Linked DNA regions of Caenorhabditis elegans. The protein of the gene in region 1 interacts with the protein of each later gene in a pairwise test. Each region holds a gene or a part of one and is shown on either strand. Other genes may lie near its edges.

Region 1 (4,668 bases):
CAATCTCGTGGAATGCGTTTCCAGTTTCAACGCTTTTGGCAATCCATTCGTCCTACAAAAATCACACATTTTTGAATTAAATATATTCAAAATTTCGTACTCTCGGATCAAAATCAAACGGTTCAAGTCCACGGCAATCGAACACTGCAATCTGTTGCCATTTCTCGTTTTGTTCGATGTTGTAGCTTTTGAACATATCCTCGACAATGGCTGAAAATGTTTATATATACTTAATTTGATTTTCTCGCAAAACTTTGATCCCAGATATTTTAAGATTCACTCACTCAAAGTGTTGACTCTTCCACACAGCTTGCATTTTTCCACAAGATTTGCCTCACCACGACTTCCTGGAACATCAAGCATCTCCTAAAATAGATTTGTTTCTTAAAAGAAAACATTCTAGAAATATCTCACATTGAGCACTACATACTGCCAGTGATCTGGAGCTTCACCACAATTAGTACACTTAAGTTTCATGTGCCAATGAAACGAATCAGTGTCATCCGGACGAAGATCAGTGATACCTTTCAATTGACACTTCAGTTCGAGAGCAAGAAAAGGCTGAAATTCTCAAGTTATTATGCTAATTATCGGATTGCTTTGTTCGTAAATAGAAAAAGTCAACCCTAATTATCCGCGCGGAAGAAACTTGTGCTTATGTCTCTCCGAGCACATTCTAATTGGTATTCCTTACCATTTTGTACGCGCAGATGGTCTCGTCCTCCGGTCACCTAAACAACACTTTAGTGAAGAATTGACGGAGGCTGTCAAGAAAATGAGGAGACATTCCCACAGGGACTTCCCGTTAGAATGAAATAGCATAACACAAAAAATGTATTTATAATTTATTTTCCAAAACTATAAAGCGAGTAAGGAAAAAGGGAAAAAACGAGTACATAAGCTGTAATAATGGAGGGTAGAAAATCATAAGATGAGTTTCGAATGTTTGATAATCGAAAATACAGAGAATGGAATAAGTGAACATATTAGAAATGTAGCACATAGAAAACGATTATGACGGTTTCACAATCAAACAAAAAAAATCCATTTACTCCTCTTATAATCAACATTAATCTTTAACAACAATTGCTAATGATTCGGTGCAGTGGATGGACGTTTTGGATGATTGGACGTAGTTGCACGAGTTGGGAGTTTTGTAGAAGATGGTGCCGTTCGTGGCCGTGTATCGGTTTCCTTATTCAGTTTGGTGGTGACTGAAAGCTTTTAAAGAGTTTAGTAACTTTTTTTTATTCAGAAAAAAGTGAACTATTTCATCAAATCTCAGTAAAATAGTTCCTAGAACCTACGGTTCAAGTTTTGGCAAAATGTCAATTTTTCAAAAAATTCAGATTATTTAGATTTTTTGAATATAATTTGTAGAAAACAACTTTTTGGTCAACCTCAAAGTTATTAATATCAAACAGAGCAATTTTCATTTTTTTTGACCAGACAAAGTTTTAAAAAGTATGTACTTTAATATGATGTCTGATCATTTTAATTCGTATTTCAAACAAGCTCAGAACTTATAAAAATTTTGAGAAATGAAAAATGAAACTTACATCGTGTTTCTTTTTCATTGGAGCTGACTTCGGATCAGTTAATTTCTTAATCCAATCCTCGCCTTGTTGCTCGCCAACAGTTTTAGCTGGAGATGGACGGGGAGGTTTTGCGAGACGTTCCTTTTTTTTATCTCTTGGAACACGTGGTCCATCTTGTTCCCGCTCTTCATGTTTCTTCTTCTTCTCATCAAGAAACTTTTGTTTGCGAATCATATTTCGTTCTTTTCTTTTTGCGTCCTGCTTCTCCCACCGTTCTTTTTCTTTTTCTGTCATAGGTTTTTCCTTCTTCAAATCCTTCTTCGACGTGGTTGCAGACGTTGAAGCCATCGGAACGCTGGGCTTCATAAGGATATCCAGAACATTCTTATGCTTTTCAAATTTATCAACTTTATCACGCTTCTCAGCTCTCTTTTCGTCACGTCTCTGTCTGCGAGCATCGTAATCTCTCCGCTTTCCAGTTTCTTTTTCGAAGAAATACTTGACAAGTGGTGTTTCCATTTTATCGATTTCTATAATAATAATAATGATGTTTTAATATTTTAAGAAAAATCAAATACTAACGAGTTCTAGCATCATCAGGCTGATTAAGTTTCCGAATTTGTTGTTCCAGAGTCAGAATTGGAATAGCTCTTTCTTCTTCAAGCTTCTTACAGAAATCCAAATAGTATTTATCAGTGAGAATAGCTCCAACACGTGTATCTTCCTTCATTCGATTACGATCACATTTTGCAAAGTTCTGATTGGAAGCAGCTTCAACAACTGCAGCAGAATCATTTCCACGAGAATCGACAAAAATGTATCCATCGAATCGCCGTTCAAATTCCATCATTGAATCACAGTATTCGGAAAAATTTACTGTAAGCGTTGCATAAGCACATCGGTCGAACCTGAAAAAATGTTTATGACTTTAGAAGCAAAACATCAAATTTTTAGAACACACGAAAAGTTAGCAGGATGAAAATAGGTTCCAATGACTTCTTCTGGTAGTGGACTAATCTGTTCAAGAACTTCATGCTCCGTCATGTATTTTGGAAGACGACGCAACACGACTTTCACATGACCGTCTTTTGAATCGGTCATTCTGAAAATAATAAATAAAATAATAAAAATAATAAAAATTACTACATTTTTAAAAGAATCAAGAATTAATTTAACGGGTGCAGACCGGATGAATAAAACAAATAAGCAGTTGTAAAATAAATAAAAAATATTTATTACTATTTTATAGAGAAACAGATTGTGAGTTCTTCTTTTTTAAATGAGCAAATTTTTTACGGAATCGACCGATTTCCGATTCGTTCATAACAACGTCAAAAATTAAATAATTTCCATCGATGGTGGGCTCAATGACCACTAATTCGTTATGATAAAGCCATTCAATTACTGGTGATCGAGCATCCAGACGAAGTCGAATCGTTTTGCACTTTGTAACCATTGTAACTTTATCGTTGATAACATCAATGAGTTCATGCATACCATCACCTGTTTTACACGAAATTCGTACGGAATTGTTTGATTCGGAAGTGGGAAATGCAGATTCTTTGTCGATCTGAACAATAAAAATTAGGAAAAGGAAGAAAACTTTTCTAAATATCACCTTGTTATCAACAGAAATTATCCTTTCGTTGAGTACATAATCTGTAACTCCAATGGATTTAAGTGTTGCCAGAACATCTTCTTCTTGTGCTTTCCAGTCCGGATTGGAAATGTCTCGAAGGTGGATTATCACATCCTACAAAAAATAAATATCACGATTTTTATAACGAATTTGAATTTCGAAAACGAATTAAAACTTTTTGTTCAATGACTCATGACTCACCGCAGATTTCACATGAGCCAGCGTAGCTTCGAATGCCGCAATCAAATGCATTGGCAAATCGCTCAAAAATCCGATTGTATCAGTAAACACAGCTGATCGACCAGAAGGTAACTTTGCCAAGTGGCGTGTGGTGTCCAATGTGGCAAACAACTGATCCTTCGGCGTCAGGGATGCGGCTCCAGTCAGTTTTTTCACTAAACTAGTTTTTCCAGAATTCGTGTATCCGACAACTGCAACAACGGCGTCTGATGAATTTCTCACACCGAGTTGTCCAACATTTTTCCGAGTCACATCTTTTAGCTCTTTACGTAGGTCTTGCTCTCGTTTTCGAAGAATTTCATTCAGATCGCCATCGATATCGGAATAGTGTGAGTCAATGTGTAGAATATCCGGACGTGAATGCAATCGTTTCGATGAAAGAGCATGAATTCGATGTTTGATGTACGGAATTTCGGCAATAGCAATCTGAATCCGAGCTTCTTCAGTTTTTGCAAATTGTTTGAAAGTTGCCAAAACAATGTTGTATCGATCAAAAATAGGAACTTCGAAAATTCGGTAGAGTTCTTGTTGCTGCGATGGGCTCAATGCATCAACATTCACCATTAATGCAGTGGCACGTGCAGCTTCTCGTCGAGCAATCAACTTTTCTAAATTTCCAGACGCCCAAACAGCTTTCCTTTTTGTATTGTAGTCGACTGGCATGATAAGACTGCTGAAATTAGATGAGTTATATCAATTAATATCATTCCAAAACCTACTCAACAGCATTCATATTTGGAAGATTATCGACAAGTGCAACAGCTTCTTCAAGTTGTCGATCTGCTTGTTTCAATACTGAAGCTGATCCAGATCCCCATCGAACCTTTGGATGCACAACTAACACTGACCACCTATCATTTGCAAATGCAGAAGGAGCTGCCACTTCAGAACTGAGAGATCAATAAAATTTTGGAAATATAGAAAATTCTGCTCACCTACCAATACTCAGATTACGAAATGACAAAACTGTCTGCCTTGATAATCGTAGAATAAACATTCTGAAATAATATTTGAGAAGCTGCTTTCATATTTCTAACAAAGTAAAAATCTATACACGGAATATATTACCAAATATAATCAGATTAAGCGTATTTTAAGACGATTGAAACTTCATCAGAAGGGGTTCGAACTGAAAAACCAAAAATTGAAATTCTAATGGGTACGAAAAGCGGGAAAATAAGTTTCAAGACTAACTCTTCCATAAAACAATATTTGTAATCGGCTGGGATATGCCTAAAACTCAAGTTACAG
Region 2 (5,373 bases), on another chromosome or scaffold:
ATTTTTCCCGAGCCTTTCATGAAGAACTCGCGTAGAATTTCCAGCATAGCACAAATCATTCGAATTCGGTGCAGGTCTCGCCACGAATTTTCTGGTTCTGGATATGAAATCAGTTGATAGAGAATCTTCAAGACTAGATCTTCATCACACAGCTCAAAACTGTAGAGCTCTGCAAGATAAACGGCGGCAGAATGAGCCCATTGATTGTAGACTCCAGGATTTTCCAAGGATATTCTGGAAATAACTCTTATGCTTGCTGCTTGAACTGGAAACGAGAGATGCGCGGCACATTTACAAAACGATATTCTCTCATTGTCGTGCCGAAATATTTTTTTCGGAAATTTTAATAGAAATAAAGATAAACATGTATAGTTTCTAAGAATAATGTTACTTTCAATTGAAAGTTTTGGGAAGTTGCTCAAAAACTAACACAACCGTACGATGCAGTATTAATATTTGAATCAGGGGTGTGCGGCAAATCTCAAAATTTGTCGAGCTCGGCAAGTTCGGCAAATTCGGCAAATTTGCCGCACACCCCTGATTTGAATCAATGGGCAATGCCTCGAAACTTTTCATTGAGAGCAATTTTTTTCAGAAAGTACAAAAAAAGTTATATATATATTTCTGTGTAAATGTGCCGCACATCTCTATCGAAAATCGTTCATACCGAATAGTTTCAATTGTTGAATCAATTACAGCCATTCCAATCCATTGAAGATGTACCAAATTACAGAGACCAGCAATCGCAGATGCCACGTGTTGAAGATTTTCAATGGGAAGAAGCCACGTGGAGGAGAGATAACGAATTGCATAATCAGCAACTTCTGGATCATACCATTCAAGCCTCCGAAGACATTTTAAGAAAACATCAACGGTTGATTCATTGATATCCAGAATTATGTGACGAATAAATCGTTTCATTGGAGTATCCTCTTCGTCTAGCTTCAAACGAAGACGTTCTTCTTTTGAATCTTCTGGTGGAAGGCAGGTGAAATACGCATTGTCTATGAGCATCTGAAATATCGAAATTGAATTAATATTATGATGTAGTTCATCTAAACATACCGCTTGTCTTTGATCTTTCATTCGTTCTCGTTTCGCCTTCACAACTTCCAATAATCTCTTCATTTTTGCATGTGATTCAGTATGTCTATACAGATAAAGACCACTAGATTCCATGAATGTCGCTGTCATTTCTACAGAATGTCCACGTAAATCATACACAAGTTGTCTCAAACAACTGAGTCCTTCAGCACGAGAAATTACTCCAAACTTCATCAGTTCAGCTATCATCATCACGCAAACCATCTTTGATTCCACTTTGATTATAGCAGTAGCTGACGATGGTTTCTGTTGCAAAAATCCGCGGAATTTCTCGAGTAGTTGAGTTACGATTTCAGTTGTCAAATCAGGCATCACATTCTCGAGAGTAGCGACAAGTCGGGCATAAAATGGAACAACATCGATCCGAGACGGAGGTGGATCGATCATAAGCTTCACAAGCCTCTTGCGACAACCCTTATTATTCAGATTCGAAACAAAATAAATAGCTGCTTGGTCAGTTGAGTACTTGCTGACAAGATGATCCAAATCAAGTACAAAACTTTGCCATTTGCTGACTCCTCGTTCTTCGGATGCATCCACAGCTTCTTTGAGAAGAGCTTGAAGTTGAGAATCTTCTGGTGTCGTCTCCTTTTCAGACTCTCCACGTTGTAATGATGATCTCTTCGCATCCATTGCTCCGGATTCATTGATATTTTCCATATCGACATCTTCAATCCTTTCAGCCATCTTCGCTTTGCTGAGAGTTCTCTGTTCAGATTCTTTATAAAGATCCTTGGGAACCATCTGTCGAAGATCGATAAGATCCTCGTAGAATGCCTTCGTCTCTTCATCACTCCACAGCTTGATTGCTCCTTCTGCAAGTTTGCGTCCCATCTGAAATATAGAATAAGTTCAAGTTTTTGGTCGAATCAAAAAACCTCCAAGTTGGCAGCTTCATCCTCTTCATCGTCACTAGCTTCCTCTTTTAGCGGTTTCATTTCCACACCGATTGCAGACGATATCTCTATAGCCTAAAATGAGGGGTTTTCTCAAATTTTCCTATTGGGTAATTAATTTTTGTACCATTTTCCGCAGAGAATCCAATTCAGACTGAAGATCATTCAAAGTTGTCTTTTCCTCATCACCAGCGTCTCCACGGCTTCTTTCCTGTCGTTTAACTCTCTTCATCGCCTTATTTCTTGCCGAACACGTTTTCTCGGTTTTCGAATAAAGTGAATCGTAGTATGATTTGAAGAGCTCACGAATCGACTTTTTCTGTTCAACTGAGAGAGCTGATGACTCAGGGAGTTCTTCTGAAAACATTGATAATGAATATACGCTCCTGATTAAAAAGATAACAACCGTCTTGAATCTCGACCGTTTCAGCATCATCCATTGGAATTGGCACAATATTTGCAATTTGCCATCCAACAGTTCTAGATACTGTAGCCAATAATCCAACATTGACAAAATCAGTCTTATCTGTTTGAATCAAATAACTTAATACAGCACCGAGAACTTGAAGTCCTTCCTTTTCATTGAAAACTCCACACAGGCAAAGTTCAGCGAGGAAGCTGGAAATATTTTATTTATTCTCAGATGAAAACTGTCTTATTAATGCAATCTAACATAATATCCACTCTCAATTTTGCAACATTTGCAATTTTGTCACTCTTTTTAACAGGAAGAACTTTTTTGAATTCCCCAGCCATCTGTTCACTGAAGTTTGAATATTTCGCAGAAATTGCAAGGCAGAGCTCTGTTACTTTCGGAATATCGGATAACTTCAATTTTGTCTCTATAATTCCCTGAAAAATTATCCGATTTTCAATGGAATTCGAAATCAAGAACCCACCGACGCCATTTCCTCAACAAATTTGCTTAAATTCAATTTCGATAATTCTTCAATTAATTGTGGAACAGTGGCCGCACTGAGAAGCTTCACTTTTTTCATAAAACTCGTCGTCTTTTTCAATGTTGAATCTAAACTTCGCAATTCTTTTTCGTTATCGAGCAAAGTTTCTCGAATCTCGACCATTTGAAGACGACTTGTTTCTTGATATTTTACACGCTTTTTCAGCTCTTCCAGCCATGATGTCTCGACTTTTCGCCGCATCTGCATAGACTGTGATAGAGAATCGTCATTTTACAAAATAAAGTGTACACTCAAGTATATAATTGAACATTCCAACATTCTATGAAACAACCAAGAAGTGAAATAATTATCCATGTCTCATTTCCTAATTAAAAAGAAATAAGAATTTCCAAATTGTAACATATTAAAACGCGGGGCGAACAGCCATTAAATATCAAAAAGGATACAGAAAAAAAAAACAATGAAAGTCTCAAATTCAGAAATCTATTAATTAATAAAAATTGTGTAGGAAGATCAAAGCATGATATTTTGATAGTTGAACAGAACAGAGGTAAAATAAGACGTTCGCGTTGGAAAATCATGAGAACAAGATAATAAATAACCGAGACCTCGGAGAACAGAGAAAAAAGTAAAGTGATACACTAGATTATAAGGAACAATGCTCATTTGTCTGGAAAATCGAAAGAACTGGGATTTTGGCAGGAACAGAAAAAAGGAAGTCAGAAGTGAAAAGAAAAAAAAGAAGATAATTAATATCCACTTCGATGATCTCCAGCTCCAGCTCCCCATCCTCCATAAGCACTGTGATGAGACGGTTGTTGTTGCTGAGCCCATGTTGGCTGTGAGTCTCTAGGTTCTCTTTGACGATCGTAAGCTCCTCCAGCAGATGCTCCATACGAATATGATTCGCCTGATCCATATGCAGAATGAGCAGCTGTGGGATATGTGGATGCAGGTTCTGCAGAATACGCAGACTGTGCTTGTGAAGCATAATAAGCATCCCAGCTTGCAGCATAACCTCCGGCAGCACTGCTCTGATCATAACTCGGACCAGTAGATGCTGCTCCATAACTTCCCCACGTATCAGGAGCCCGGCCATGCGCAGCTGGTGGTGCACGAATTGGAGCACTGCGTGGTGGGATGCCTCGTGGTTCATATTTGGGTTCTATATCGTATCCTCGTGGTTCCCGTGGGCCATATGGATCCCTTGATTCTCTGTATGATGGTGGCATAGCTTGAGGACCTGCCCTGTAGCCAGAGTCTCGTTGTGGTGGCCCTCCGCCACGTCTTCCTCCGTTAAGAATCGGATCAGGCGCTGGAGCAGCTGATGCATTCGTGCCACTTGTTTCTTTCCAAAGAAGACGACGCATTGGACCAGGCGCTCCACGATTATCAAACAGTTCGACATATCTACAAATAACAATAATTATTCCATGTTCTGATTATAAATTTCAAATTACCGTCTTCCCATTCTTTGATTGTTACGCGAGAGAGCGACTTGAAGATCGTTGTAATTGTCAAATTCCGCAATAGCATCTCCAGATGGACGACCAGTTTCGTTGATTCCTATTTTGACTGAATGGCATCGAAGTGGAGAAAAAAAAGCAGCGATAGCATGATCATCAGCATCATAAGGAAGACCACGCATATACACCTGAAAAATAAAATAATTTATTTTACAATCGCAGAAAAATACTCATACCCTCAGCGGATCATCGCCTCCTCTTCCATAATCACTGCGACCTCCTTGATCGTGTCCACCATTGTATCCATAATCCCGACGTCCGCCATAACTTCCACGATTGTAGTCATCATAACCACGATCATAGCTGCTGTCGCCGTATCTTCCACCACCACCTCGTCTTCCGTGGTCATATCCTGAATCCACGGACATCAGTGGGCGAATTCCAGTTCTTTCGTAAGATGCCGAGTATTCTGTAAAATAAAAATTGAAAATATTTATTATCAAGATTTGTTATATCAATAAATAGTAAACTAAATGAGCATTTCAAGAGACAATTTTTAAAATGTTGAAATTTGATGTGCACCGTAACAGAAATGTGCGCAGATTTGCTTTTCAAATATTTCGACATGTTTTAATAAAGGCTCATTCAGATGGGTCTTGGCGCGAAAATGAGTATATGGTAGTTTTTATTTAATTTTTGCTGCTGTTTCTTGCATTTTTGAATTAAATCACTTCTTTTCTTGCGAATTTTGTCTCGTTTTCTATTTTTTATCAGAAAAATGAGAAAAAGGAAGGGCAAGATTGGCGAAAAACTGAATAATTTCATTGAGAAATGAAAGAAAAAAAAAAAAAACAGAAATGCGAAAATCTACCGTATTGCGCACCGAGGCCCATCAGAATAAACCGGTGCGCCTTTAAGAAGATTTTGTGAAATTGCGATGAATTACACCTTTTTTGGTACATCATGTCTTCTTCTGTGCACTTTAAA

Evidence for each region.
Region 2: the proteins of smg-4 (region 1) and smg-3 interact in a two-hybrid assay, tested with the Caenorhabditis elegans proteins (one study listed by BioGRID).

Annotation. Positions count from the first base shown.
Region 1 is NC_003283.11:9,775,104-9,779,771, forward strand, and holds smg-4 (UPF3 domain-containing protein), read right to left. Parts: upstream 2,643-4,668; 5' UTR 2,640-2,642; coding exon 2,500-2,639; intron 2,447-2,499; coding exon 2,121-2,446; intron 2,069-2,120; coding exon 1,560-2,068; intron 1,222-1,559; coding exon 1,090-1,221; 3' UTR 832-1,089; downstream 1-831. Other genes in the region: UPF0587 protein F46B6.12, read right to left, coding at 1-52, 101-210, 285-366, 415-561, 695-697; F46B6.4 (Hflx-type G domain-containing protein), read right to left, coding at 2,782-3,108, 3,157-3,291, 3,379-4,090, 4,137-4,307, 4,353-4,414.
Region 2 is NC_003282.8:6,369,928-6,375,300, forward strand, and holds the start of smg-3 (MIF4G domain-containing protein), read right to left. Parts: upstream 3,163-5,373; 5' UTR 3,161-3,162; coding exon 2,900-3,160; intron 2,853-2,899; coding exon 2,674-2,852; intron 2,619-2,673; coding exon 2,407-2,618; intron 2,358-2,406; coding exon 2,128-2,357; intron 2,076-2,127; coding exon 1,983-2,075; intron 1,939-1,982; coding exon 1,066-1,938; intron 1,015-1,065; coding exon 668-1,014; intron 235-667; coding exon 1-234. Other genes in the region: hrpf-2 (RRM domain-containing protein), read right to left, coding at 3,670-4,330, 4,381-4,574, 4,623-4,855.